Oreochromis niloticus: one gene and its partner. The protein of the gene in region 1 purifies or fractionates together with the protein of each later gene. This does not show direct contact. Links are inferred from orthologs where the notes say so. Each region holds a gene or a part of one and is shown on either strand. Other genes may lie near its edges.

The links.
Region 2: the proteins of dr1 (region 1) and kat2b purify together in Homo sapiens (affinity purification with mass spectrometry; 3 studies listed by BioGRID and IntAct, with this or other methods). This does not show direct contact. The link is inferred for Oreochromis niloticus from reciprocal best matches to the Homo sapiens genes DR1 and KAT2B.

What each region holds. Positions count from the first base shown.
Region 1 is NC_031986.2:31,174,820-31,190,075, reverse strand, and holds dr1 (protein Dr1), read left to right. Parts: upstream 1-9,429; 5' UTR 9,430-10,119; coding exon 10,120-10,339; intron 10,340-10,461; coding exon 10,462-10,625; intron 10,626-11,492; coding exon 11,493-11,639; 3' UTR 11,640-12,696; downstream 12,697-15,256. Other genes in the region: scinla (scinderin like a), read left to right, coding at 77-210, 1,092-1,182, 1,743-1,913, 2,010-2,184, 2,272-2,387, 2,529-2,606, 2,701-2,761, 3,330-3,475; zgc:109982 (retinol dehydrogenase 8), read left to right, coding at 5,103-5,199, 5,973-6,134, 6,233-6,412, 6,489-6,582, 6,963-7,146, 7,231-7,461; protein wntless homolog, read left to right, coding at 12,903-13,008, 13,946-14,209, 14,306-14,430, 14,521-14,676, 14,785-14,921. UniProt on the Homo sapiens protein: The association of the DR1/DRAP1 heterodimer with TBP results in a functional repression of both activated and basal transcription of class II genes.
Region 2 is NC_031985.2:21,841,315-21,857,385, forward strand, and holds the start of kat2b (histone acetyltransferase KAT2B), read left to right. Parts: upstream 1-8,593; 5' UTR 8,594-9,085; coding exon 9,086-9,286; intron 9,287-10,148; coding exon 10,149-10,275; intron 10,276-10,369; coding exon 10,370-10,515; intron 10,516-10,606; coding exon 10,607-10,693; intron 10,694-10,794; coding exon 10,795-10,976; intron 10,977-11,067; coding exon 11,068-11,259; intron 11,260-11,426; coding exon 11,427-11,530; intron 11,531-11,655; coding exon 11,656-11,781; intron 11,782-12,614; coding exon 12,615-12,748; intron 12,749-13,698; coding exon 13,699-13,907; intron 13,908-13,999; coding exon 14,000-14,126; intron 14,127-14,225; coding exon 14,226-14,336; intron 14,337-14,448; coding exon 14,449-14,592; intron 14,593-14,694; coding exon 14,695-14,809; intron 14,810-15,781; coding exon 15,782-15,812; intron 15,813-16,014; coding exon 16,015-16,071. Other genes in the region: ras-related protein Rab-5A, read left to right, coding at 3,980-4,145, 4,371-4,522, 4,638-4,760, 5,251-5,344, 5,778-5,893. UniProt on the Homo sapiens protein: Functions as a histone acetyltransferase (HAT) to promote transcriptional activation. Has significant histone acetyltransferase activity with core histones (H3 and H4), and also with nucleosome core particles.

The DNA of each region.
Region 1 (15,256 bases):
TACAGTAACCAACTTGACAGTGTTTTATTTTCCTTAAAAATTAATAAATAAATGCAACATTGGTGGATGTCTGCAGATTTGGCGTGTGGAAGGAGGCGATAAGGTAGCAGTGGACAAATCCACCTATGGACAGTTCTTTGGAGGTGACTGTTACTTGGTGCTGTACTCTTACAACAGTGGAGGCAGAGAGAAGCACATCATTTACACCTGGTGCGTAAAACATGCTCAATGTGGCAGAATTGGTCTTTTAAGGGGTACAAGGCAAAGATTCCTGGCTTGGTACTCACTTTCTCTGTTTAGGTGAATGAAAATTGTAAGCATGATATAAACTTGTCACACAACACACACAGAAGTAAAGCCACTGAGTTGTAGAGCATACTGGTCTTTGTAACAAGATTTTTATTCATGAAGGGTTTGGGTTCGATATAGAGAAATTTTGCTTAATCTTCAAGCACTCTTTAATATGATGCAGAATTCGTAGATGAACCAATAAATGCAAGTTGATCAAAGCTGGTGGGATTGTTTGAGTTGCAGGCATGTTAGGCAGGGTTTATACACATTGACCCATTAATGACTCTAAAATCCTGGGAGGAGACAAAAATCCCCTTTGAGGTTGCTGTGGCGACCCCTTCTGAATCAGCCTAAAGCAGTTTTAATGTTTTTAGAATTAAATGATTGCCAATATTAATATAATCTGAGAGTGGAATGCAAATGTAACAAATTTCATCACATCCATTCTGTCTGTCTGATGGCATGAGAGAGCACTCGCGTGTGGACATTTATCTATTTTCATTCATCTATTAGTTAGAAAGGCTTTTCAGTCTGGGTCATATGATGATGCCACAGAATGAAAACAGTTAACAGTTAGAGTACTGCTGAAATTTCATGACATTCTGATAAGAAAACAACATTAATGATTTCTTAAACTTGTGGTAAAATAATAAAATATAATTGTGGGTAGTCAGTTTATGTATTTAGTGTTTTTGTAAGCTGTGTGAGGGTGCTGAGAGAATCAAGAGTTTTTGAAACATTACTTTTATACCTTAATTGTGAATATCATATTTAATTGTGCTTAATTTTGCTTGCTGTAGGCAAGGGCAGAAATGCACTCAGGATGAACTGACTGCTTCGGCCTTCCTCACCGTCAAGCTGGATGATTCCATGGGTGGAGTAGCAACACAGGTAAGAGTTAAAATGTTAAGAAATAAAAGTACCTGGCAACAGTTAGTGAAAGGAATGATGCAACTCTCAGGTCCATCTTTTATATTATGAACAAGAAGCAATAAAATACACAACACACTTGCAAAATCATTCACATTAACAGGCTTTTTTTTTTTCCATTTTCAACCAACAAATCATTAAGTTGACCTTGAAGACTTTGGTGGATTTAAACCAGATTTTAATGGAGTGTTAACATGACCCCATTCAACACACCTACAAAGTTTTTTCAGAATTCATTCAAAAATGTTTAAGCTATTGTGTTTACAAACTGACAAAATGACATGCATGCAGACGCTACCCAAAACATGACCTCCTTGGCATCTTGCAGCTGTTAGCTTAGTATAGAAATTGGAGAACAAGAGGTAGGTGGATGTTTTTAACCTTCATACAGAGGAACTGCTGTCGCCTGTTTTCAGTCTTTACCCTGAGCTCCTATTAACCAGCTCCCAGCTGTACTTAGAGATAAGTCTGGGATCAGTCTCCTCATCAAATTTAATGACTGTGTGGCTGTATCTCCACAGGTTCGGGTCACTCAAGGTAAAGAACCCCCCCATCTTGTGAGCTTGTTTAAGGACAAGCCCATGGTCATCCATCAGGGTGGGACATCCCGCAAGTGTGGCGAGACTAAGCCAAGCAGCACACGGCTCTTTCATATCCGCAAGAGCGGCAACAATACCACACGAGCTGTTGAGGTCAGCCTCATTTATTACACTGAACGTTAATAAACTGGTTCTTTATAATGAACAGATGCCACCACTCCTCCCTATCTTGGTGTCGCACCTACACAGGTGGAGCCCACTGCATCCTCTCTGAACACCAATGATGTGTTTGTGCTGAAGACTCCTGATTGCCTTTTCCTGTGGAAGGGAAAGGGTGCAAGTTCAGATGAGATGGCTGCAGCTAACTATGTTGCCAGCCTCCTTGGAGGAACTGCTACTGGGGTGGAGGAGACACAGGAGCCTGGTAAGAGCCGGAAGAGCTTTGATTTCCACAAAGTAGTACTTGTGAGATGTCCCCAGTAGAAAACTGTCCTTTTCTCCTTGTTTCCAGCTGTTTTCTGGGCTGCTCTGGGTGGTAAGAAAGAATACCAGACGTCCAAGGCCCTTCAGGGAGTGGTCCGACAACCACGACTGTTTGGATGTTCAAACAAAACTGGCAGGCTAACAGTGAGTATTCAAGTGTTCATCAATCAGATTTTTTTTAATGTAAGTAGTTATATTTATATAAACAGATATATTGTTTTCTTACCAACTAGTTAAACAATTTTTAAATGGCCACTTTGTAACTGTGTGCTGATCAATTTTCAGGTTGAAGAAGTTCCCGGGGACTTCTCACAGATCGATCTGGCAACTGATGATGTCATGATTCTGGACACATGGGATCAGGTATAAAAGCACTTTTGATGAAACACTCGAGTTGTGGCTAGTTTATGTTTTCCTCCTTTTGATCCTTGAGCTCTTTGGTTACTGTTCCCATCAGATCTTTGTTTGGATTGGAAACGAAGCAAATGAAACGGAGAAACTTGAATCACCAAAGATGGGTAAGAGAAAACTATTAGACATGAGAAGGAATTACAGAAATACAGCAACAGGGTCAATTCAGGGAGAATAAAAAATTATATAGAGGGAATCATTTTCCCAGAAAATAAGGCATGAATTATAGATATTCATTCTGAGAGCAAATATATTTTATTTGAGATAACTATTGTAATTTTATGAGTAAGGAAATGACCAAATTTACCTAAAAAACAATTTCTTGAGATTAATTTTTGAGATTGAGTTACAAATTTACAAATTTATTTTCTCAAAAATTTGACTATAATCTCAGAAATTTAAGACTTTTTTTCTCATATTATGTTGTTTGTAAATTTCTTGATTTACTCTCAGAGAATAAAATATTTTTGTTGGACATTTAAAATTGTAATCTTGCAAATTTATGACTGAATAATTGTAAAGAATATTAAATAATATTATTTTACATTTATTTCTAAATTTACCACCCTTCTTATAATTTTAGCTCCAATTTGAATTAAACTATAGTGAATGGCCCTTTAAGGCTACTGTACAGAAGAGACCTCAGTTCACAAATATATCCTGTTTTCCTTTCAGCCAAACAATATGTGGATTCAGACCCCTCTGGCCGCCGTGGTACCCCCATCACCATCCTGAAGCAGGGGGAAGAGATCCCGTCCTTCACTGGATGGTTCCAAGCTTGGGACCCAAAGATGTGGTCCCAAAATCTTTATGCCCAGTAGAATTTAATAGGAAAAAACACACATTTTAAGCATCTCTGAAAAATCAGGATAGTTTTGATGTTTGACGTTTTGTTGACCTTAAAGCATAAATTGACACGTAAGATGGAACTTCTCTGCAGGTAAAGTGCAGATGCAAATATGTGCTTAAAGCTGTGGTGCAGGTTAAAACGTTACCCATCCGATTTCCAACCCATTTTTTCAGAGTAAAACAAAAAATAATCATATTTAAGCTACTGCTTAAAGGTTTGGAGTCACATCTCTTTGAAAGAAAAAGTGCATTGGCTTTTACAGAAAATAACATTAAAATTTTCATAAGTGTTATAGAAGAGAAGTAATGATTAATTACTGATTTTTAAGGCAATATCTATGTAAGTGCATTCAGGCCCTTTTCAGCAGCTGTCAGTGCTGTGTTCCAGCAACATGTGTAAGTTTTTCCTTTTCTAATAAATGAAGGCTGTTTGAGGCTATAGGAGAAAATGACCAGATAACTGAAATTTTCATACAGCAGCTTTAGGTATTCTCATGACAAACCAACAAAATTTGGCTCTTAGAGATACCATTTAATGACCCGTGAGGCGTCTGTTTTGGAACCAAAAGGTTCTGATTTAGCTGTCCTACTCAGTTGTGCTCTCTAGTTTCCAGTCAGAGCCACTTATTCCTGTTTTGTGAAAGTAGTACACGTTATTTTTTTGTTTTGTTTTCTTGAGACTATAACCAAACTTACTGACAATAATGCTTAACTCAGCTTCACAAACTTCAGACGAGATGATTGTAACTGAATGATTAATGAAATTTAATGGGATAGACTTGCTTTAGGTGACTCAGTGTGCTATTACAACAGATGAGTGGCAGTTGGTTAAAACGGGCCTGTGTGTGTCAGCATAGATATTAAAAAAACATTGTTCATGTTAAATATTAATAGCATTTCTCATCAACTTGACTTTGATTTTCAAAAATTCTTTTTTATCTCAAAACTTTGAGCAGTAGGGTACATATTAAAAAAACTGAATTTAATAATTCACAGCCCACAGTAAAAAAAAAAAAAAAAAAAAAAAACTATGTTGAGAAAGTTTTATTTGCTACAGCAATGAATGTTTTTTTTTTTTTACATCTACTTTGAAAAACCAAAAAAACAAAACAGCCCACTACATTGTCTAGGTTAAGTGTGGCCTTAAAATGTACTCAAAATTATTTTGAAAATGTGTTTTAAATAGATTCTTTTAAAAATCACAAATGAACTTCTCCACATTTTTACAAAAAATATACTTTTTGCTGTCTTCATTGCAAAAAAATTTGTGGGAAATTCCAAATTTAAATAAAATATTTCACCATTGTCTGATTGTATTTTATTTTATTTAAATAAGATGATGCTTATAGGTCTGATATTTTCTTCATATTACATCTGGACTTATCATTAGCCTAAATCCTCACCATGCAACAGCACCATGTGAATGCCACGAATGATACTAATCTTCAGACCATATGCACACAGCTTTTTGCTGAGTTGTAAACCTCTGATTAAGGAAGGGGCTTTAAAAGTGCCCGTATGTGGCCTGCTGCCTCTCCTCTTTTGTTCTCGTTTTATTCTCTACTGCTGGAGCTGCAAGAAAAGCACTAACCAGGCACGATGAACCAGAAGGTGGTACTCATCACCGGCTGCTCCTCTGGGATTGGCCTCGCATTGGCTGTCCATATTGCAAAAGATGAGAAGAAGAGGTTCATGGGTAACTTTTTAACAGACTTTTTCTAAGATAGCTGGGGTTGTTGACTACATTTCAAAACCCTGTGTCAGGAGGGATCAAAGGGAATCAAAGAAAAATATAATGTATTCAAATTGTGATTGAAAATGCTTCAAATGACAGAAATTAGAGGAAATATGTGGAAAAAAAAACTAGCACATAAGGGTGTAAAACATAATGGTGTTTTTCTTTTTGAATTTTTTGGAAGTGTGTAGGATGTTTTAAAATATTACCATCTCACATGTACTTGAACTTTACTTGAACTTTACATGGCTGCTGTGTCTGGCTCAATAATTTCTACTATGAACACTTTGCAGACTATTCATTAAAGTTAACTGTGTAAATGTAATACCATTTTGAAACCATTCACTAGAAAGATATTTACTTGATCAAATTCACATTATTTACATTATCAATATGTAATGGGTTTCTTCTACAAACAAAATATTGGTAAGTTCTTTTTTTAAAACTCTGGTTCCAGAAACAATCCACACAGCTCACCATCAACAGTTTTTATCTTAAACGTGTTTTATGGAAGAAATGGTCCTCCTGGTCTGTGGATTACCCTGAGTAACTATTAACCATGTCGTACTGATGTAACAGGCAACACCTGAAAGATGAAATCTGAGAAAAATCCACATTTGCCGCTCCTGGTGGAGATAAATTGTGATAGTTTCTCAAATGTAATGTAAAATTTTAATTTCAGTTCTGAATTCAATAAAAACACAACAGCTTCAGACGAGTTTTTGTTGTTGTAGTCTATGCCACCATGAGAAATCTGAGTAAGGCTGAGCCTCTGGTTGAGGCAGCAGGTCGGACCCTGGGCCGGACCTTGGAGATCAAGCAGCTGGACGTATGTGACGAGGCTTCCATCAAAGCCTGCGTGGACAGTCTGCCTGAGCGCAGGGTAGACATTCTCAGTAAGCTCCTACCATTTGCTTCAAAACAGTATTAATTTGGCTTTTCGACTGTCTATGGAAATTTAAATGATATGTGTGTATGTGACCTTATTTCACAGTAAGTAATGCTGGGATGGGTCTGATTGGACCCATTGAGTGTCAGTCTATTGAAGAGATGAAAAGTGTCATGGACACCAACTTCTTTGGACTTGTGCGATTACTAAAGGAAATCCTGCCCGACATGAAGAGAAGGAAAAAAGGTCATATTGTGGTCATTAGCAGCGTCATGGGGATTCAGGGTAAGAGCTGCTTCACCTGCTGATCACGAGAACATTTTTTAAGACAGTTGCTTCACAACTTCTTTCCCTGTTTCAGGGATTTTATTCAACGATATCTACGCAGCATCTAAGTTTGCATTGGAAGGCTTTTGTGAAAGCCTAGCGATACAAGCCCTGAGGTTTGGTCTGAAGTAAGATACTAAGTCTATAATGTTTTATTCCTGTTCATCTTTTACTGGCATTTTTGTGAGAAAAAAAGTGCAACAAAAACTAAACTACCTGAAAACCAGCCCTTGCATCTGGTATATTTGTGTAGTCATATTGCACAACAACACCTACCCCTTTCTGCACCATTAGGAGGAAAATATGCAAACCACAGCACACTGTGATGTTTAGGCATGTTCTAACACAGTATCAAATGGTAACTGAATTTTAGTGTGGTTTCTAAAGTTTCCTGTATAATGAAAGTAATATTTAATTACCTTTCACAGTTGTGCACTGAACTCAAGTTTCCTATTTCAAGAGATTTTTCCATGTTTTTTAATGTTCTTCTCTTCTATTTCTTCCTCAGCATCAGCCTGATAGAGCCAGGTCCAGTGATAACCGAGTTTGAGCGTAAGGTTTATGACGAGGGCCTAAAGATTGATCTCAGCAAAGCAGACAAAGTGACTGCTGACATGTTCACAAATGTCTACTTAAAGAACTACAAACAGATCTTTGAAACCCTCGGACAGACTCCTGAGGACGTGGCAGAGGTATCGTTCAGCAAATACTTCACCTTTAACCTTTAATGCACTACAAGAGCAATAAACTATATTATGAATGATCTTTCTTCGTAGCACACCCTCAAGATCATCATCATGGACAATCCCCCTTTCCGGCACCAGACAAACACTCTCTATACCCCTATGACCACACTCAAGTACGCTGACCCAAATGGTGACCTCCCGATTGAAACGTTTTACAAAATGGTGTTTGAACACGACAAGGTCTTCACTGCCAGCCTGAACTTCATCAAGCTTTTGCACTGGAGAAGCCGAAAGAGTTTTAAGTTAGAGAAGAGCAACTGAATCATGTCATATCTTTGTTATTTTTGTGACATGGGCATATTTGGCTGTTATTGTCTAGCAGTGTTACCTCCCTGAAATAAATAAAGCTATGAAATGCCATGACAATGCAGTCTCTTTTCATACGTGGCAGTAAGCTCCTGCAGGTTTAAACCACACCCTGGTGCATTCAAGTAGCATAACTGTCTTAAGTTGACAAGCCCTTGAGCCTTGTGTCATATGGGAAGCAAGCAAAGTTATACGAACAGCAAGATTAAATCAAAGTAAATCAGGTAGTTCGGAGTTATAACGACTAATTTATGAACTTTTTTTGTCTTTTTAAAAGCATTGTTTTGTTAATGGGTTCTGTTACAGTGTCAGAAGATTATGTATATCTTACATAATCTTAACAAATTTCCCACGTGTGTGACTAATAAAGGTTATCTTATCTTATCTTAAGCTGCTGGATTACATAACATAATTACTCATGGCTTAATCTGGAATATAGCCGTTGAATTCTGAGTCTCGCACCACGTGGACTTTAATGTGAGAAAACTTTTATGTATTTATTTTTTGTATGATATTGACAGGATTTGGTCAGAAAATTAAGCATGTTAGAATATAAAAAGAAAATAACAAAATAAAAGCTGGTATTCTCTTGGTGGACACTAGATGGCAGTAAACAATTATTAGGAAATTCAAACACCTGTGAAACCAGTCTGGATGCTGCTGAATATTGATAAGTCTAAAAATAAAATTGCAGAAACAGGGCCATAAATTACTGTGGCTCGAATTTGTTTCAGCAAGATCTGTGCTTGTGCTGAGAAAATATACATAAAAAAGCATTAGTAGACATGTTATCAGACGTACCCTTCCGGGGAGGAGATCACAGGGTTAAAAGAGATGCTCTTGATAATTATGTTTACCATAGGAGGGTAACATACAGTACTGTACAAAGATACTGGTTCACTACACGAACCAGTGTTGTGTAAACACATAACAGACAGCTTAGCAAAGAACCCATTCTAAACTGTGTCTTTAGGCACTTTGTTACTAGCAGCCTGTCGCCAAAGCACATAATTTGTTTCCATTTCTTTAGCTGAATCTACAGAAAATACCAAAGATAACACAATTTGACAGACATAAAATAGTGTTGTTGCACCAACAATGTGATTCCCAGTGAACTATTGGGCGAAAACCTGGCATATTGCGGCACTGTGTGCAGTTTTTTTTGGTGATAAAACTGGACAAGTGGAGGACAAAAGAAGAAGTGGAAGGTCTGAAAAACTGTGTACAGCAGATGAAAAGTCTCTGGAAGTCATGTCCTTAAGTAATACCGTCCAAAAAAATCCAGCAAAGACTATCAGTTGATCCATGAACAGAAGCTTCATTAGAAAAGGTTTCACTGGAACTATGGAAACAGGGAGAAATGGCTGAACTGGACTGAAGATCAGTGGAAACAGGTCTTATGGAGTGGTGAATATGAAAAACAAACAAAAAAAGTGAAATTCAGGAGATAGGTACAACCATGAGTGTCTAGAGTAATCTGTAAACTATAGTGAAGACTCTGTCATGATTTGAGTTTGCCTTTCAGCCAGTGGTGTACAGGATTTCTTCAAAATTGATAGAATTAGAGTCGGATTTTGATCTTCCACACAATACCATCTGGAAAGCACCTGATTGGCAACAGCTTCATATTTTAAAGATAATGTAGTAAAAACATACCTGGATATAAAACTCACACAATCATCTATGGATTGGCCTCATCTTTTATATTTTGGAGGCGAGGTGCATATGGGATGTGGTCCTCTGACTGTATACGAAATATTACTGTAGCTACCATCAAAATATATAGATAATGTAAGAAAGTACATATTCAGTTTATTTGTTTTGTTTTGTTTTTCCAGCATGTGTATTAATTCCCCAAGCATATGTTTTAAGGGCAGTAATGGACGACAACTACCACAAGGCCACAGCAATGCGACTCGAGGGGATTCAGACAGGCTTTAAACACCAAAGAAGAAGAATGGTATCCGGCTCTTTGTTTGACGTTGCATCCGGACTGAATCAAGCTAATGTTGCCCACATTTCAAACGTATAAAAGAATCGATACCATGTTTCTGCTTATCTGAAATGTCCGAATCATCTCTCGATGCAGGATAGAACAACAGGCAGTGTTGTGGCACGTGTGTCCTGTTTCTGTGTCTATGCAGCTAACTGTTTAGCCATGCGGGAGGCACTTCATTGTTAGCTTAGCGGTAGCCATGCTCTCCGCTTTCACTTGTTTTTTGCGTTGCGGCTTTCTGGCGACAGGGACCACAGCTACTAGCTAGCCTGGCTGCTAGCTAGCTAAGCACTTTTCACACAGTATTAACCTTTTGTCTTCTTTTTTGGTGTATGTGCTTTAGCGTTTTCTAACGGTTTCTTTTCTACCACATTCCTTACAAAGGCTCTACTCTGCGGAAATTGTTTCAACTATTAGCTAATAGCTAAGCTAGCCGGCTAACTTGGAGGAAGCGTCACTCTCCTACATGACATTTAACTCTGTGTTGACGTTGTCTTGACCTGACCGTTATATTTTAATTCTGCCGACACGAGAAGGCCTCCTAACAGTTTCCTTCCGTCGAGAATCGGAGTTGCTGTTTCTTTTTTTTTCTGGTTTCTGTCCCGTCGTCTGCCACGATGGCTTCTTCCTCTGGAAATGACGATGACCTCACCATCCCGAGAGCAGCTATCAACAAAATGATTAAAGAAACTCTCCCCAACGTACGGGTGGCCAACGATGCCAGGGAGCTTGTAGTTAACTGCTGCACAGAGTTCATCCACCTCATATCCTCAGAAGCCAATGAAATATGCAACAAGTCGGACAAGAAAACCATTTCCCCAGAGCATGTCATCAACGGTGAGTCCAGCTTTGTTTTCCCTGTACCCTGAAAGGTGTGTGTATGTGTGCAGCACCATGTAATGAGCCTTAAACCACAGAGAGTAATTAAAACACTTTCGCCTCTTGCTTTCGCACCGCAGCGCTCGAGAGCCTCGGTTTCGCATCGTACATCACGGAGGTGAAAGACGTGCTGCAGGAGTGTAAAACTGTTGCCCTGAAGAGGAGGAAGGCCAGTTCGAGACTGGAGAACCTGGGCATCCCTGAAGAAGAGCTCCTTAGGCAACAACAGGAATTGTTTGCAAAGGTATGATTTTGAGAGAGGCGTCACAAGAAACAGTAGCTCAGGGAACTAACTTCCATACCAGGTCATTTAGTCTAACCCTGAGGGGCCTTTTAATAATTAAGTTTAAAAAACAGCAAAGACATAATAAAATGATAAAAAGCAACTGTTAGAAAATGTCCAGGTGCTTCCAACAGCCACTGAACTGAGCATAGCTGTTTTTGAAGTTATGACTAGAGGAAATCATTTTGTGCTGCTTTCAGAGCCCACGAAAACAGTGGAATTGAAAATGTGAATTTATTGCTGCCAAACTGTGTTCTAAAAATAATTAAACAAACCAGCACAAATATGATTGCTCAGAAATGTTATAATAAACAAAATTATTGGACCAGAACTTCACATTATGTAGGGATCTGAGTTTTGATGAAGTAGGTCTTTTGCGATTGGTCTTTTGTTTTGTGCTAAGTTCCTTAGGAAATGAGTAAGCCTTTAGAGAGAAATACAACAAAGCCATGTCCGATTTAAATCATCTGTGTGCTGAGTGGCTGTTACACATAACCACTTGAGGCACATTATTTGCACTATACTGTTCACTAATGCATGACAGATCCATTTAGTTAACTTTCAGCAGTACTTTGCTAATTATTAACTCAATCCCTTTCTAGAAACAAGTATAAGCAAGTATAATTCAGCGATAGTAATATGTTGCAGACACTTTATTTTAATTTTTTTTTCCAATGTTCAGTGCTTATAATGACATACCACGAAAATGTCTTAAAATATTCAAGTTCTAATTAAACATCAGATATCAACCACCATGAGCTTCTCTAATTGCCTGATATAATCCTCATTCACCTTCGCCTGTCTCGTGTCTCTCTTGTGTTTGTGAAGGCGCGACAGCAGCAGGCAGAACTCGCTCAGCAGGAATGGTTGCAGATGCAGCAGGCCGCCCAGCAGGCACAGATGGCGGCAGCATCTGCCACTGCTGCCCAACAGGCCGGTTCCTCTCAGGATGAAGACGAAGAGGATGACATATGATCCCAGGATACTGTTCAGCTTGTCCGAATCCCTTCCTGGGACAGTGTTGGCGGGCAAACCTCCCAGTGCTGTTGTTGACAGAGACTTGAGATGTGTTTGACCGCTGGTGCACATCAGTGACACAAGGAAAATGCACATTTGGTATTGACAGTGGAGATGGAGTTGGAGGGGAATGTCAACATGATGATACCAGAACCTGAAATTTGTTTGGTTTGAAAAGCTGTTAATAAAATTTTGATTATCCCCCTGCCCCCCCCCCCCCCCTTTTTTAAGTTACTTCCGTTTAATTAAGTCTTGATGTTATGTTGTGAGTAATTTGTAGATTTCTGGATGTACTGTGGATGCACTGAAGGCACATTTCACTGAAGTTTGGTGATGGTGCAGCAGGTGTTTGCTCTTTCAGGTACTGCACCAACTAGCTTGTTTATGTCAACCATAGTGCTAGATAACAATCAGTGGTGTAGGCGAATCGCTCCTGACGACTCCAGAGCATCTAATTCCTCTTCTCTTGGTCTTTGCCATTTTGTCAAAAAGGGTTTTCTTTACCCCTCTGTGGAGTTATTTGTTCGACAGTGGAAGGATTGAGGGGCCGTGAATATTGAAATTGTACTATTAAATAATGAAAAATACATTTTTGTTTTAGCTTATTCAGAAACGTTATGTTGTTTCCTTTCTACCTTGAACTACACACAGTATTGGTTCTTAGCTGCACCTTTGAAAAACTGAATATTTTTGTCTGATAGAACCAAAGATAGACTAACAGCCCAGAGTTCGTGTTTTGTTTTCTTTTTAAGGTGTAGGTGCTACTGTGATTCTCATTGCTGACTCCAGATCAGTGTGAATAATGTTAAATATTATTAACCTATAACTTTGTAAGACGCTTTGATATCGAGGCCAGATTTGTTATTTCCCCTTTCCTTGGGTGCAGTATCAAACATTTGCATTGTGACTGTGGTCAATCCTCAGTGTAAAGATAAGTAACCTAGTTGTGATACACATTCACTTGCCTATACTACAAAGTTGTATTCTTTAAGCAATAAAGGAATCATGTTTTATAGACCAGTGTTCTCTGATCTTTTTAATGCCTAATGATTCCTCCACCTGTCCCTTTTGCACATGCTCTGTTTGAGCCTCATGTCTGGCGCATCCCATATGAGAATCAGATGTGTGTGAGCAGGTAGATGAGCTTCAGTGGAGCACTTGGCTTGTCTGGACAACACTTTCTTTTTATATATATTTTTTTTACCCCAAAATATCTCACAAATGGCAGGAGCGATCATAGAGAAGATGAGCACTAAAAAGTTGGTTTTATTTGTTTTCTTCATTTTATTATTCCAAATATTTTCCATCTTGGTTGGAGCATTGATATGTAAGTAGATGATTTTTTTTTAAACATTTTTAAATTTATTTGCAAATAATGTTTTCTAATAATTATTTGGGGTAATTTATCTTATTTAATCTTTGTTATGTGCATTTAGATGGGCTTATATGTTACAGCACTGCAGATTCTACTCAGCCAGCCAATGAAAGCTGGCAACATTCCTTTAATGTTCTCAATGATTTCCTCACTGTTTTCAAATTTGTACCAAGTTTCTTATTTTTATTGTTTGTTCAAAGTGTCTTTTAATTTTTAGAAATTGAACTAAAGTACCATTCTTTTATAGAAAAAAAAATTCAAGCTGGGTTTGGTGTTGTGGTGTACAGGCATGTTTCTGTCTAAAAATGATTACAGTATAATTTGTCTCACTTTTTTCACTTTCATTTACTTATATTTTAATTATCTTTAGGAACCAATAAGTAATTTTAAGTACTGGTAATTACACCCCGAAATCAGAAGAACTACATGCTAGATGTTACAGCATAGGTCGTGGGCTCTATATTCAAATTTTTACTGAGACTGGAAGATCTGCATGAATTGTTTATAATAAATTTACAATGTATTCTAAAAATTAAACATTTATTAAATTTAAATTCTTGATTGCAAGCAGTTTAGCTTGTTTCTACACCTGGGTGAACAGTTTTGCATCTTGTATTTAGAGTTTCCTTATTTAATTATATTTATAGTTTTCGCATGGAGTTTCTTTGCACATACTGTATATTTTTTATTGTTTGTGTGCTTTTGAGCTACTCAGCTTGATTGTAAATGCAGGATAGCCCTCAATGAATTCAATTTTAGGAAAATTAAGTCTAATTCACGATATTTTTGTGTTGGAAGCGCTCTGAAAAACAAATTTTCCCAATGCTCTTAATGATTAAGCTTTAGTCTGTCTTTTTTCATAATATATCTCTGATTTCTTTTACGATAGCTCCCAGTCCTACCACTGCAATCCGCTACTTGGCCACCAAATGCATCAATTTCCACAGGACACGTGCTTGGCTCATGCCATGGGGCTCAAATCGATGCCAGCAGGTCCACAGTTTTGACGACCCTTTGGCAAAAACGCTCGATGCTAACGACATTGTTTTTGCTGTGCATGTACCCCTACCCAACACTGAAATGAGTCCGTGGTTTCAATACATGCTGGCTGTTCTGCAGTTTGACATTGCATTCAAAATGATAAATCAGATTGGTAAGACGTGTCTTGTCTTTGTCAGAAATGTAAATAGTGTAGTTTCCTAGTTGCAGTGGGTTTCTAATAAAATGAGCAATTTTCCTGCCTGTGTAGAAGATGATGTGGTCATCACTATCGATGCCCGTCTGGCATACAGGGACGACATGACGTCTGAGTGGACCACAAAATTTCACTCGGTGGAGCAAAGGCCACTCAGGTGCACATTTGCAGTATCCAAGGTAAACCTGCATGACTCCATGTTATACACAGAAATGAAAAATTGTTACATTTTTCTTTGCTTAGTGAGGAAAAACTCAGTGTTGTTTCAGACGTATGAAAACGAAGGGCGCTTTTATCACTGTGACCCCATACCATTCATGGAGCTGGGAAGCGTAGCCCACAAATATTTTTTAATGAACCTGCGTTTGCCAGTGAATGACACAATGAATGTTGGCATCGGGGAAATAAAGGACATCCATGTAGTGGTGAGTATTTACACGTTAACTTCTGTTATACGGCATGTTGTGTTTGAATTAATCTCCAAAGGCTAAAAATTTTGCACTCTAACATCTGATGACCCTCCTCTTTCTCAGGGTATCCACCAGAATGGAGGCTTCACCAAAGTGTGGATCAGCATGAAGACTGTGTTCAGTCCCTGGATATCAGTGGCTACAGTTTGGTACTGGTACAGGATTAGGCTCTTGGCGAGACCTCCGGTCCTTTTGGAAAAGTATGTTTTGGCTAGCATACATGTGGAAAGAGAGATTAAGAGTGACATTTTAACATTTAAGTATATTTATGAATTTTATGTCATAATACTGAGTTGAATTTTAATCATTTCTCAAATGATACAAAACAATGTAATAATACTAATAATATTATTACTACTACTGCTATTACTACCACTAATAAGAATAAGAATAAGAATATTTAATTTTGAGCACTTTAGGTTGCGATTGCTGCCTCTGCGGATTGATTTCATTGAATTTTATTGCAGACTGAAACAAAATCATCTTATTTAAAAGGTAGAGTGAAGTTATACAATACAGCTACTTGTAAGGAGCT
Region 2 (16,071 bases), on another chromosome or scaffold:
GAAGACCTCAGAGGAGATTTGTGGATGCAGTGAAGGAGTGAATACAGAGGGCTTTTGTGACAGATGAGGATGCTAGAAGTAGGGTGAGATGGAGGCAGATGATCTACTGAAGGGAGCAGATGAAAGAAGAAGAAACGCCAAGAAGATCCAGTGGGTTTAAAATAGATTACATGCTTCTTTTCAAAAGGGTATAACAATACTTGTCTGTAAATATTAATTTCAAATTAAAGGAACAACAATCTATGTGACTATTAAAATGCCTTTGTCCTCGTGACAAGGTCACCTTTAACCCAAGATTCCTATAGAAAAAGGTATCTATATTGTACCGAGTCTATCTAAATATCAGCTGTGCCTGATTCCCTTTTGTTAAATTACTGGGTAATTTGATCAAATACACATGAAAATATTATTTGTAATTTTTATTATTATTAATGTCTGATTTTATTTGTATCTCATTAAAAACAGATACCGAGATCTGATCCTGGAGGGCAGATCATAGTCAAACTTTATATACACCATCTGCCTGTTAGCGGGCGTGTCGTGTGACGTGGCACGGGGAGCGGAAGAGCTTGTTTGTGTTTTGGTTCTAAGGGGAAGTTGCGAGAAGAAAGAAAGGAGGAGACGTGACAGGATTGTTGAAATTATTTTCTCGGTCCCCCCTCCCCTGACACCAGCTCATCACACTGTCCCAGGTTCTGTGTGCGAACTGCAGCGGTGCTATTTAAAGTTGTACATCGCCTGGCTCTCAGGTAAAGTACTTGTCACGAATCGACGAGTTGTGGTTTGCAGCTGGCTCGGTGACATGACGCCGCCGTTTGTTTAGTTGTCATCGGTGACTTCGTTAGTTAGCTGTGTCGCTAGCTAAGTGCAGCTGATGTCGATGGTGTTTGGTGGCACAGGGGATGCAGAAATGCGGGCCTTTGTCCTGTCGAGTCCGCTTGTTCTCTTGTATACCAGTAGCAAATGGCTAATAATGTCTGGTATAGCAGGTAGCATGGCAGGCTTACAGTGACTTTGCTAATAGGTGGACTGGGTTCAGTGGGTCTAATGCTAACAGTGACAGCAAGCTAACGTTAGTGTTTGTTAATTGAGGGGCTCAGCTATTCCCCTTGAATCAACATTAGCTAAACGGCACAGGCAATCAGGGTTTCAATTCGAAAGAAAAAAAAAACTATGGCGTTAGTTTTGTGCAGATAGCTGTCGTGTTGTTTTTATGTCCTTACAGCAGTTCGGAGACTAATGACACCAGACAGCTAGGAATGCTAAGCTTTGCTAACAAGCTAGAGAACAAAAACACTTTGGGGAAAATGGCGGCCCCCTCTAACATCAAAACAGACCGATAGCCACTGCTAACACCGAGCAAGTGTGTTCATAGTCAACTAACGAGGGTTAAAGCCAAATATGCGCGTCGCAGTCATGCAATGCGCAGCGTTTGCTGACAGTCCGTGTCATGAGTGTGGGTAAATACGGTCACTGTTCTCATTCCAGTTCCTGGAGCATGTTTGTTTTCTTGCTGCGCGTCTTCAAGACTTCGTCTCAAGGATGAGTCGATTGAGATAAGGTTGAAATGTTTTGGCATGACCTCGCCGGTCAATTTATTGACTCGTTTCCCCAAAGCTCTTTATTTGAAATACACCCAGAAATCTGGTGGCTAAGGTAAAGGAAATCTTTACCTTATATGAATGCCTTCAGACTTTAGTGTTGCGACACAAGTAAGAACGGTTTGCCACAGATGTGGGTTAGTGACGCACAGGTTCATAATGTGTGTGAAAAAAAAAGTAAATGTTATTTATAGAGCTCATTTTGAAATGACTGGAGTTGTCCACAAGTGCTGTACAGGCACACTCATTTTGTAATCCAAGTCTCAAGAACAATTACAAACATGGAGCTTGCATAAACAGGGAACATAATAAAATATAATATTTAAGAAAAGAAATCAGAAAACAACTATGTTCTACCAATGCTAAACAGTCAAGTAAAACAGTAGTAGAAAACATTTACAGTGTGTTTGACCAAACCCTGGGGGACCTGAGGCTAGACTAAAAGCAGCTAAAACAGATATGTCATTAGAGCTCATCTAAAATGATCAGTTGTTGAACCAGTCCCCATGAGCCTAGGGGCAATAACCGCAAAGTCCTAGCTGACTGTAGTTTTTAGGCAAGAAGGGGACACTGAAAGAAGAAGTTAGGATGATGATGTCAGGGATTTGGAGGCAAAAATATGGTTACTTTATAGACTGACTTGCCTGTTTTTGCAATTTTGTTCAGAGTACATTTATAGCTTTATCCTCTCAGTTATCTTGCAGTTTATAAGAACATTATAAGCACGTGTTAACTCTTAACTTATATAATTAAGTAGCACTTTTCTACTTGGAGCAGTCTCAGCTACTACTACTCGTTCATCCAATCACACATAAATGCATACAAGTGCTTTTTTTCTTTACCTAAGCACCTTTTCTATCATTTGCACACACTCTAATTCACAATGGAGGCATTGCAGGCAACTCAGGGTTCAGTGCTTTCCCCAAGGATACTTCAGCATGAATACTGGAGTATCCGGGGAATCTATCCCACAACCTTTCAAGCCACAGCCACTGAAATGTGTCGTATGCTATTATGTACAGCTACCTTACAGTATAATATAATTCAGTACAACATCTTCATAAACTGCCATTGAGCCTACAGCCACCACAGATTAATGCCTCTCCTCAACAGAGTGTGACTTGTGTGGTTAACAAAGGTTGCTTTGTGCTTTATTGCACTGCACCATATATGTGAGTTTGATGCGAGGCGAAAGGCCAGTTTTTGGTCAGGCACAAGATTCCACTAAATTCACCCTGTAAGGTCAGACATAAGCCGTGATTATGTCCTTACAACAGCCGTCTGTGTTTTTTTAGAAATTCTGAGCTGTTCATTCCCAAATAAGTTAGTAAGCACTGCATGCACACATGGTATGCATGCATGCATGCAATGGTTCTCGCAGTTGTACCACACTTGAGTAATCTGGGTGGGTCTTTCCCCGGCTCTCTTTTGAGTTTGCCACGAATCACTGTTGTAGTTCATGACAAGGCTTCCTTTTCCTGGTGTTACTGTAAGTTACATTCATGAAGAAGTGTCCTAAATTTGGCCTGTCGAAAGTCGCACATGCATTCAGAACAGGCCTTTGTATGTTTGAAATGCTTGCAAGTTATTTTTACTGACTTGAAATGTTCACAGAATAATTCATTTATTAGCCTTATAAAATTACATTTACAGCCATAATTTGCAGATAAAAAAGATAGCTAATTGATACAGGCTATCATTTTCTATGCACTGTGTATGAATTATATTGGAATATATTTGAATTTATTGATCACATAAATATCTTCATGTTGCCTAAACTGCAGTGTGAAAACCACCTGTTTCTTTGAAACACTCTGTGTGGGAAATCCTTCTTAATTCATAACAAATTGAAGTGATACCAGTGGGTGAATGCTTGACTTTGATGTATGAAAGTATGAGTGAGAGATCTATCAGTTTTTTCTATGTAGTCTGCTCTGATGAACTTTCATTGGCCTTTATATCCCAGTCAAAATGTCAAAAGATTACCAAATTTAGTTACTTTTTTCTAGTAGCCTATTCATTAGTCTGATTCTAGTTTTCATAAGAGTTGTAATTTTAATAATGATTTTCAGAGGAAGCTGATCTTATAATTATACATTTGTTGCATGATTTCAATATATGAGTAATGCTCATTTGTCTTAAATGTCCGACTGTCATCTATACAAAAGTAACTGTTCCATTCTTGTTATGACTTGTTAAACTGCATTGGAAGGGAAAAGCATATTAGCAGAGGTTTTGTTACATTTGTTTGAAATTACAAATCTCTTAGAGTTTAATATCTTTTTTTACTCTGTGAACATGTTTGTTTTCGTGCTTCCTGCAGCAGAAGTCCCGACAGTGAGGTTCAGCACACAGGATACCTGGGATCTGACTAGGTCATGGCCAATCGAGGAGGAGCTACGAGACCCAATGGACCAAATGCAGGGAATAAGATCTGTCAGTTTAAGCTGGTGCTGTTGGGGGAATCGGCTGTGGGGAAGTCCAGCTTAGTGCTTCGCTTCGTCAAGGGCCAGTTCCATGAATTCCAGGAAAGCACAATAGGAGGTAAGGTCATGTCATCAAATCAGGATGTTTCTGACAACCTGACAGTTCTGTTTTTTTTGTTTTGTTTGTTTGTTTTCCTGAGAAGTCCCCATTCAGAATTTAGAAGACTGATGCTTTTGTGTTGACACATTCACAGCTCTGTTGTTTATATGACCTCGTAAAGATATAGTTTTGGTGTCGTTAATGATCACGCATAAAATGACTCATCTCTTCCTGTCTCCACAGCGGCTTTCCTAACCCAAACAGTGTGTCTTGATGACACAACAGTGAAATTTGAAATCTGGGACACTGCAGGCCAGGAGCGTTACCACAGTTTGGCACCAATGTATTACAGAGGAGCACAAGCTGCCATTGTGGTCTACGACATCACAAACGAGGCACGTTCATCCTTGACTAAGACCCAGGCCTTCCAGAGCACTTGTAGAGCAAGTTAAAACATGAAAGTAGCATTAGATGTTGACAAGTGGTACCGTGTCTTCATTTGTTTTTCAGGAGTCCTTTGCACGGGCCAAGAACTGGGTGAAGGAGCTACAACGACAAGCTAGCCCTAATATAGTCATCGCTCTGTCAGGAAACAAAGCTGATCTGGCCAACAAAAGAGCTGTGGACTTCCAGGTCAGTCTAGACAAACCTTAGACTGTGTCTTAGGCTTTGATTATTTTACAATTTTTATTTATTAATTAATTTATTTTTAATCTAATATCTCTGTGACCTTTCTGTGTGGAGTTTGTATGTTCTTCCTGTGTCTGCGTGGTTTATCTCCGGGTACTCCAGCCTCCTCCCACAGTCCAAGCACATGTAGTTAGTACAGTTATTTAATTGGTGATTCTAAATCGCTCATGGGTGTGAATATGAGTGTGAATGGCTGTCTGTACCTCTCTGTTAGCCCTGCGACAGGCTGGCGACCCGTCTCCAGCCCTACCGCAAAGTGGAGTTGGATGAGGGGAGGAAAATAGGTGGATGGCTGAATGATCACATTCGAAGCGGACGCTGCATTCTAGAGCCACGACTTCCATTTTTAATTATCCTCTAATTGTGTTTCTCCTATGCCTGAAGAAATGTGTGTTGGAGAATGTTTTGAAAATTGTTTACATTGTGTCAACAGGACGCCCAGTCCTACGCAGATGACAACAGCTTACTTTTCATGGAGACATCGGCCAAAACGTCTATGAATGTGAATGAGATATTTATGGCCATTGGTGGGTAACTTTTAGGATTCAATTTGTAGATATTTGTTTTTCTGCACATTTCTGTTATTCAGAGTTAGAACTGTTGCCTCATAGCAAGAAGGTCATGGCTTCAAGCCCAGTTTAGGGCTCCTTCTGTGTGGAATTTGCATGTTTTCTGCTTGCCTGAGCTTTCTACTGTAGCTCCAGTTTTCTTCTACTGAAAAACACACAAGGTTTACGACGCCGCTGTTAGGCTTGGACAATCACAAATTCCTAAAGGGTTTCAGTTCCTGCTTTAAATACGAGTTAAAAATTAACTGGAGGACAAGGTCAAACTAGTATGATTGATGTTTTTTTGTTTTTTTTTGTTAATGTATTTTTTTTTTTTTTAATCATTTGTAGCTTCTCTTTCCTGAAAATTGTTTTATTATATGTTTGTTTTTTTGTTTTTGATTTCTTCCAGCAAAGAGATTGCCAAAAAATGAGCCTCAGCCTGCAGGAGCAAACACTGGGCGCAGCCGGGGAGTGGACCTGACAGAAGCTGCCCAGCCAGCCAAGGCTCCATGCTGCAGTAACTAACATGAAGAACACCCTCCTCCCTACCAACCTGTATGGCAGTAACTAATGTGGTCAATGCCCCAAATGCCACTGCAGTTACTAATGCAATGTGTCATCTACTCTCTGAAACAAGAAAATATGCCCTCCGCTCGCCACCCCACCCATCCACTTTTAACAAATTCATTGCCATCACACTGATCTTTCTTTGCAGCTCTGCCTCTTTTCCTCCACTATGGTTCTGCTGCTACCCGGGGAAGCCTCCTAACCACTTTGTCTTACTTTCTGCCATCGAGCTTGTTACATCTATCGTATTATTGATAGATCAGTGATAGCAGATATTAGAAACATTAGAGCACCCTTCCTCGCATTGTCATCATCTTTACAGCGTGTAGACACGAGTTTCATCTGGAGGAAGTGATCACTTCTCTTTTCTGGGATAGCTTAAGTCTTTAATATTGCATTTCTAATACCAGTCTTCTGTTTTTGTTCAATTTTTTATAACTTTGTTGATTATTGTTTACTGTAATTTTGTCAAACTTGTGGATGCAAATGCTAGCATATTTAGACGGCCTAAAAGTTAAAAAGAGTTACACATTTAATCTGCAGTAGAGCAGAAAAAGTTGGTTGGAGGAGTGTGTTCTTGTTAGTCTCAGAAAGAGGAAAGGTGGAGGGCGCAGAGAGAAACTGTAGGTTCTGTCTCTCTTGTTGTTTCTAGGGCCCTTTATCTCGTAGCTGGGGGAAAAAAAAGAAGAGTTGGTCCTTATAACCCCACTCCCTCCATTAAACCCAACGTAGCACTAGTGCATAGCTTCTCACACCACCTTGTCTCCATTCTGGGCCCGTGCCTGCTCATAGCTGTCCTTCGTGGCATTGTGCAATGTTTCACAGTATTTACTCTGTGAGTTGAGTTGTCTGCAAGGGCCAGTGCTGCGCAGCAAATCCCCTTGTGTCTACAAACACAGCGCAGAGGCCTCTACGGTACACGTCAGTGTCACCACCTGCCCACCTCATGATGTGTCCGTCCATAAACCTTGTGTAGACCACCCTTTTGTTGTCATACTGCGGTCTCTTGGGTTTCTGCTTTTCAACGATTTATTCTTGTGCGAATACTTTTTCCATTGTGTCAATGTTGCTCGACTGCTGGGTTTGCACTGGGGGGTAAATCGAAGGTGATAGCAGTGAGTGGGGAGTTGCAATATGTAAAGTTGCTTCTTAATTAATATCGGAATCATAAATGTTTGACATCTTCTCTCGATTAGAAAGTGCTTTAGACACGGCGGTGTGTCATTCTGTACAAAGCCCGGCCCGGGTTTGCTGTCTGGTGACAGATCACATCCTTCGACTTATTCACACGCATTTATCCGTGTGTTTTGTTGTTTTGGGGGTTTTTTTTGAACACACATTTGCACAATTAAACACACACACGCCACTGACTTGTCGTCCCCCTCCCAACCTTCCCCTATTCCCTGTGAGACCTAAACATCACTGTACATGAACACACACACTGTCTGTTACACATCATCCACACCTTTGTCAAGCACACACTCTGTCCCACCGACACACAACCCCCCTTATTGTTACACACACGCACGCACACACACACACACACACACACGCACATAGAGTACTTTTAGTAAATAACTCTTTTTACAGGTCTGTCTTACTCATGCCTTGCACTAATGATGCTCATGAATATATCTTGTCATGATTTCAGCCAGTGTGATATATAAATATATATATATAAATATATAAATATAAATATATAAATAATATACTGTAAATAAGGTGTTGCAGTGTAGTCTACCTTTTTTCAATTTACCAATGACAGGACTAATGCTTGCTAGGGAGTTGTCTAGATAATCATAAAAAAGTGTACAGTTAGCAGGAAGGAGAAAAAAAACAGCTACAATCTGGGTTTGGAGTTTTGTTGCTGTTCCTTTTTTTTCTTTGTCTTTTTTTTTTTTTTTTTTTTTTTTACACATATAAATGGTTAAATTATAATCAGTGGTGGTCTTTATAAATGTATCTAGTGTTTATTAACAACAACAAAAAAATGAAATTGCATTTATTTAGCCATCTGTCTTGTACATTTATGTCATAAAAAATATATCCAAACGTTTTTTTTTTTTTGTTTGTTTGTTTTTAATATTATCTCTTTACTTTACACTTCTCCATTTTTTTTTTTTCTTGTCTATGCCTTGTCCAGAACTATTCCTCCTCCTACTCCTCCCTGTAAGTAGACGTGAGCTTTCAGAGGCACAGGTTGTAAAACTCCAGAGGAGTCGGACACCACGCTGCACAGTTTTTGAGCTTTCCTCCGTCTGTCCTCCTACATCTCGGTAACATTGTGACGATAATTGTAGGAACAGTAAAACAACTATCAGCTGGCACGATGGCGGTTTATGAATAGATGATTTAACACATAATAGGGATGCAAATTGTAATTTTTTTTGTTTTGTTTTGTTTTTGCAGTGAACACTTATTTGCAGCCGGAAACATTTAAATGCAAGCATTTTACAGTACTGTTATGTAATGACCAAATAAATACTGAAATAAATTTGATCATTTATTATTGTAATCAGGCGGTGTGTATGTGTGCGTGCCTTTATTTCCTCTGGACCTCAATAGCTTTTTTTTTTTTTTTTTAAACTTTTTACGTCTACCACTCTATATATCTGTTTGTTTTGTCCTCTGGAGGTTATGACCTACACCTTTACTTGCCTCATACTCATCATGAAACTGATGAAAGCTTCTAATCATCATCAATCCTGAACTTTAACCTTTTTTTTGTTGTTGTTGTTTGGGTGAGCATCCTTAAGACATTTCCATATGTTTACTGATATAATGTGAAAATATTTTTAAGGGTCTATAAATATATTTCTAAATAGTGTTGCTATTCATTTCAGTAATTTTTCAGTATAGTCTTGAAAGTCGCCTGTGCCTGACTGAAGGTATGCATCCACTTTTTTTCCCTCCCACCATGTTTGACCTTGAAATTTTGCTATAAATGGTTGCATTTTGTGACCTCTCCTCTTTGAATTGTTGTGGAGTTGGCCTATCCCATGAAGGTCCCCTAGCGGAGGAAAATGGGCCTACAGCGAGAAATTGAAAATAAGGATGAGCGCCATGTCTGATCCTCCGTTTGTGGAATAGAGCGGACGGCGCAGCGAATATTCCCCGGGCTGGCGGTCCCTTCGGGTTTCGGTGGGAATCATGGCCGACAGCGCTGGGATTCAGCAAGGTTCGCCGGCCATCGGAGCCGCGGGCCTGGTTCCGGCCGCTCCTGGAGCCGGAGGCACGGAGGGCTCCGGCGCCGCTAGAGGATCCGCACGTATCGCCGTGAAGAAGGCACAACTACGCTCCTCGCCTCGGCCCAAGAAACTGGAAAAACTCGGAGTATATTCATCCTGCAAAGTATGCCACATCTGCAAAAGCAGGGCTTTGAAGCGGGGTAGTTTTCGGGGCTCATACTTAAAGTGTGGTGCATTTCCTGGGCTTGGTTGCAATAGTTTTCAAAATGCAAGCGCAGCAAAGGAAGCCATTGCCGCACTTGAGTTTCTTTTTTTTCTTTTGCATGCATGAACCACTTACTGAAGAGGTAATACTAAAAAAAAAAAAAATCTTGACACGTTAAGTGTTTTGGAGGTTTTTTTTACATCTGGACTTTTCAGCAGGGGCCTTGCAGCTGCAGCCTGTTACAGTGTTACTGTTTCTGTCAAGGTGGGGGGTTGGTGAACGTAAACATTGGCTTGACGCTGGTTTTGGGAGTAGCTGGCTGTGTGCACAAGGTCTGGATACGCGTGTGTGTGGTCGTGCACGGTCTCGTGTTTCCACTGGAAATTTCACAGCGTCCCCGTGCAGTCCGTCATAGCAGGGGGGGTAAACAGAGAGGAGTTTATTGGGCTTATGCAGCGTATGATCCGCAGAGAGGGACGGGGTCTTTGTTTTGACAGGGTGACAGCTGCTGGCGGGGGCGGAGTTTGTTGTTGTTTCAGGGCGCATGCTCAGAACAGCACCTTCAGCTGATCGTGTTCCCGCCCCCTGTTACTGTAGACAGTCGGGCATAACTTCTCTTGTTTGACCTGAGAGAGCCTGGAAAAGCTGCAGTTTGCTTTTAAGATATTTATGGAATAAAAAAGCAAAGCTTAACAAGTTGAATGGTTCTCCTTAATTGTTCAGTATAATCTGCCCCCATTTATTGCTCACTTGCTGCTTTTAATGTAAATACTGTCGTGTTTGTGCCTGCTTGTACTAATTTAACCTCTATTTATTGCAGGCTGAAGGAGCCTGTAAGTGTAATGGCTGGAAAAGTCAGAATCCCCCTCCTACACCTCCTCAAACAGAGCAGCAGTCCAACGCAGTCAACCTCCAGGAGCCCTGTCGGAGCTGCTCTCACACTTTGGGTAAGTGGGCATGCCCACCAGAGAAGCTGCATCAGAAAATAATACCAAGAAGGGTAAGCTAGATGAATTTCATTGGCTTATTTCTTCTTTCCAGGTGATCATGTGACCCATCTAGAAAATGTTTCAGAGGAGGAAATGAACAGGCTTCTTGGTATTGTTCTGGATGTGGAGTATCTGTACACGTGCATTCACAAAGAGGAGGATGCTGACACTAAACAAGTCTACTTTTCCCTCTTCAAAGTAATTTTACTGCTTTACACTCCGTTTGAAGCAAGGTACAGTTTTCAGATCTCGCTCACTTTAAACAAACGCCATCTTTTTCCGTTGTCAGCTGCTGAGGAAATCCATCCTGCAGATGGGTAAACCAATGTTAGAAGCACAGGAGAGTCCGCCGTTTGAAAAGCCCAGCATCGAGCAGGTAGAGAAACAAGTCTCCACTGCACAGACTCTTTCATCCTCTGATCTTTATCTTAATTTTGATGTATTTGTTCTTTCTTTTACTCCACGTTTTCAAAATAGGGGGTGAACAATTTTGTCCAGTACAAATTCAGCCACCTGCCATCTAAAGAACGCCAAACCATTATGGAGCTGGCTAAGATGTTTCTCAACCAGATCAACTACTGGCAGTTGGAAACGCCCTCTCAAAGACGCCAAAGGGTGCCCAACGATGACGCAGCTGGATACAAAGTCAACTACACTAGGTAGCAGAGTAGACAGATAATCTTGTGCCTGCCTTTCCTGCACCAGTACAGTTACAAGCTGTAAGATAATTATGGGATATGCTTGTTCCAGATGGCTCTGCTACTGCAATGTGCCTCAGTTCTGTGACAGCCTGCCCCGCTACGAGACCACTCAGATCTTCGGGCGGACGCTTTTGCGTTCTGTCTTCACTGTGATGAGGAAACAGCTGCTGGAGCAGGCCAGACAGGAGAAGGACAAGCTCCCTCCTGAGAAACGCACACTCATTCTTACACACTTTCCCAAGTAAGAGATACAGAAGGCTCACATGCAGTTAGCCACACAGGCCTTCAAGTAGCTACACTCTGGGATGTGCTTCACATCCTCAGTATGAAACCAGACTGTAGCCACTTATGTAAAGTTGACTGCTTGTTTTAATATAGTTAAGTAGTTGTTGTGATTTCTCTGCTCAGGTTCTTGTCAATGCTGGAGGAGGAAGTTTACAGTCATAACTCTCCAATCTGGAGCCAAGACTTCTTGGCAGGGGCAGCAGGAGGGCAGATTCCTATCCACACAGGTGACACGCCCTCCCACGCACCTTCACCGAAACGCCTCTCAAGATGACACTTGTTTTGTTTTTTTTTAAGAAAAGGTTAAAGCCTATGACTGAATAAATTCAATTCCCTCTGTGTCTTTTTGTAGTTATAAGTGCTGCTTCAGTGGCCAGGCCGCTGTACTACAGCACCAGTCCCGTGTCAGTAGACCCGTCCACCTGCGGCAGTGTCAGTCCTGCCAGGAAGGCAGCTTCTGTACTGGAACCAAACCCAGGTATTGCTGACAAACCTGTTATTACTCATGAGGTTTCAGTTAAGCCAACTTATTGCGTAACAGTGCAACAACAAAAAGTGTGGACCTGAGTGAAGTCAGCCTTGTTTTCCACATTTAAAAGTAGAATAGAATAGAACAGAATAGAATAGAACAATCCTTTAATTGTCCCACAAGGGGAAATTTGGTTGTAACAGCAGCCAGAAAGTGCAACGGTTCCTACTTTACAGCGAGATTACTCAAGTCAGCCGTCCTTTAAGATAGTTTCTAGTTTTGGAGATTCTTATGCTTTTAATGTAACGCTGTTTTAAGTGCTGCCTCTAAGATCTGTCATCACATGAAGGTGAAGTAAACCCCAGAGCTGCTTCTAACAAACAAGTACATATAGGTTCAAAATGAAGACTGAGGATAGGAGACTTCAAATGTCCGTCACTTGTTTACCAACCATACCAACAGTACCATATCACCCCAACAGAGCACTTTGCTCTCAGACTGCAGGTTAACTTGTGGTTCCTAGGATATGTAAAAGTAGAATGGGAGGCAGAGGCTTCAGCTTTCACACATCTCATTCTGTAGAACCAGTTTCCAGGATTTCTGTCTCCTGCTTTCTTCTTTTTCCCTCTAACACCAGTCACAACAGATGGCTGCCTCTCCCACAGCCTGGTTCTGTTGGAGCTTTCTTCCTGTTAAAAGGGAGTTTTTCTATCCCACTGTTGCCAAGTGCTTGCTCAGAGGGGGTCGTCTGATTGTTGGGGTTTTTTCTCTAATATTGTTTTTACCTTACAACATAAAGCACCTTGAGTAATGAGAGCTTTCCTCTGTGTACACTCCCCCAGCTGGAGAAAAGCGTAAACCCTCTGAGCCCCTTCCCCATGAGGAAAACAAGAGACCCAGGGTGGTTGGTGACATCCCCATGGACCTTATCAATGAAGTCATGGCGACTATCACTGATCCTGCTGCCATTCCAGAGGTAACCCATTATTGTTTAGTCACAGCATGGAGTCCAATTAGTTGGAAGTGAATTTAATCTTCATATGAAAAGTAGTAATTTGGGCTAAAATTCTATAATTTCTATAATTATAGCCCACCTATAAGCTGTTTGTCAGAAACTGTATCAGAGTGCTCGTGAGGCCTGATGATTTCCACTTCCTCTTCATGTATAACGCTCTCTGTTATGTTATCTTTGCCATGTTGAAAACTTAATCGCGAGCTTCATATGATTTCTGAAGCAATCACTACGGCGCGGTGTCATGTATGAGTGGGATAATATAACGGCCCTTTTTACAGCTTCTCCTGCTGTTGCTGTATGTGACAAAAAGTAAAAGTGATAAGACACCTTCAGGGTAAACCAGTGCATATCGCTCCAGCTTCTGATACACAGCCGTTTTCTTGAAACCTTTCTGTCAGTCAAGATGCCTCACATCTGTAAATCAAGTGAAGACAAACTAAAATGGCCCGTGCTCTCTTCTTCAGTTGTTTTGGGGGTTACTCCTAGTATATTTTGAAACTGGCATCACCTGCAATGCTTTTCATTTTGACTCAAGTCTTGGATTTTTAAGAGAAATAAGAAGGCACTGCAGATTTGCAAAGGGCAGTTATGTAATCTTCACAGATACCATCCAGACCCGAAGCCTCTATCAGATTTTCCAGGCTGACACTTTATAACAAGAGTAAAAAGAATTAAAGTCATTAGATAATTGTAAATCTTCTCATCCTTCCAGCCTAATCATTTTCCTGTCAGTGTCAGATCTCATGGTAATTGGTCTTGATCTCCTTCCAAGCTGCCATAATGTGTCTGTATAGCACTTCATTTATTTTTTTAGTCGTAGGTTAATTGTCCCTGCACAAAATGTTCAAGTCCTCTGCACATCACAGCAAATTTTGGACCGTGATTTATTTGATACCTTCCTGTCTGTGCAGACCAGCCTGCTATCAGCTCACTCTGCACGTGACGAAGCCGCCCGCCTGGAGGAGCGCAGGGGCGTGATTGAATTCCACGTCATTGGGAACTCCCTAAACCAGAAGCCCAACAAGAGGATTTTGATGTGGCTCGTCGGCCTTCAGAACGTGTTCTCCCATCAGCTTCCCCGCATGCCCAAGGAGTACATCACGCGGCTGGTGTTCGATCCGTGAGTGTAACTCTGCCTCATCGTCACACCTTAAGTTCAGAAGTGCTATAGAAGCAGATTCCCTCTGTAAAATTCATCTTTTCTTCTGGCAGGAAACACAAAACGCTGTCCCTGATCAAGGACGGGAGAGTGATCGGAGGGATCTGCTTCCGGATGTTTCCATCGCAAGGCTTCACAGAGATTGTCTTCTGTGCCGTCACCTCCAACGAACAGGTCAAGGTGAGAGCGCGCCCAGCTTTATTTCTCAGCTTGGTGGGTATTCAGTGATATCTGGATGGCTGGCTCTAACCCTTTCCTGGCCTGACTGTGTGGTTGCAGGGTTATGGAACACATTTGATGAACCACCTGAAAGAATATCACATAAAGCATGAAATCCTCAATTTTCTCACTTATGCTGATGAATACGCCATTGGGTACTTTAAGAAACAGGTAACATGGTTCTTCTTGGACTGTGATAGATATTTACAATAATATAATAAATAGAGGCAGAACTGCTAGCGCGTGGCAGCTCCAGGATAAATTATTACTTCCTCCTTATCAGGGTTTCTCAAAAGACATAAAGGTTCCCAAGTCCAAGTATGTGGGCTACATCAAGGATTATGAAGGAGCCACACTCATGGGCTGTGAGCTCAACCCCAGCATCCCCTACACCGAGTTCTCTGTCATCATCAAGAAGCAGAAAGAGGTGTGTGGGTGACTTTTAAATCAACTCTTTAACATTTTATTGGTCTGAATGCTTCTTTCTGTCCCCTCAACTAAGATTTTTTTTCTCATTTGTTGCCTTCAGATAATCAAGAAGCTGATTGAGAGGAAACAGGCTCAGATCAGAAAAGTCTATCCAGGGCTGTCCTGTTTTAAGGATGGAGTCCGGCAGATTCCCATTGAGAGCATTCCTGGCATACGTATGTTATTCTTTTTCAGTGTTGGGTAACCTTGGCCTTTAAAAGTAGCTTGTTACATTACAAGATTATTGCCATTAAAAAGTAATGATTGCCATTACAGCATTAAATGCTGATGAAAGTAGGCCACTTACCACATACATCCTGTGCAATTAAGCTGTCCAACTTTTTGGTTATATTATCTACTGGGTTTTTATGGGCTTTGTCGTACATCTACCTCTATAATCACCACCAACTTTGTTAATTTCCTCGAAGCGACAGGTTAAGCAGAACTGAAAGCTAATTAATCAAATACTTTTGGGATTTAAAATCTGTTCTCTACGAAATCTGGATGGGTGGTTATTTTCTGTATGTACGGCTACCAGCCAAGGACTAGAGCAGGTTGCACGTGAATGCAAGAATTATGATGAATTTTTTGAATTTGTTTTGTGGCAACAAGACAAGCAGTAATTGCAATGTCACTACTTTATATCCACGTCCATCTTTTAAGCTATTGTCACACAAGAAAAACAGTGGTTGGAGACTGTAGGGCAACCAAAATTATTGCACTCAGCTCGCTATGTGGCTGCCTTTGAAGTGGTTGCTTTGAAGAAAGGAACCAGATATTAAACCACTTCCAGTCAGCTGCCATCTCTATAGAAACATTGGTGTGTCAGGACAGTGAGAAATCCGCAATAAGACTGAGTCAGCATCATGTCTGCTATTGCAGAGACTGACTGCAAGTTGTTTAGAGTCTGTTTTATAAAATTAGATGGGAATTCATTGCAGATGTTTGCCAGGTTTAGAGTGCCACACGCGCAACCTCTGCGCAACTATTTAGTCGTCCAACTACTTACAAAAACATTCTGCGCAATCATTCACCCAGCAGCATTTTTTGTGGTTACACAGAAGTTGCTGACCTATTTTTCCTCTAGTGACTAGAGAATGACTCCATTGTGGTGTATGAGTTTAATATTAGTTTATTTATATCAACAGGTGAAACTGGCTGGAAGCCTGTGGGCAAAGGGTAAGTTGCTCCGCTAATGATTTGGCTAATGTATTCACATCTTATATTGGATCATTTTTATCAATGATACAGTCAGACATTGTCTCTGGTCTTCATTTATGATAAAAATTTGCAGGCAATAATAACACGCATGCACATCTGGAAATAGCACTTAGCTAGCCTCAGTTTTATATCGTTCTTTCTACCATTTTTCACTCTTCAGGAAAGAACTGAAAGACCCCGATCAACTGTACAGCACTCTGAAAACCATCCTCCAACA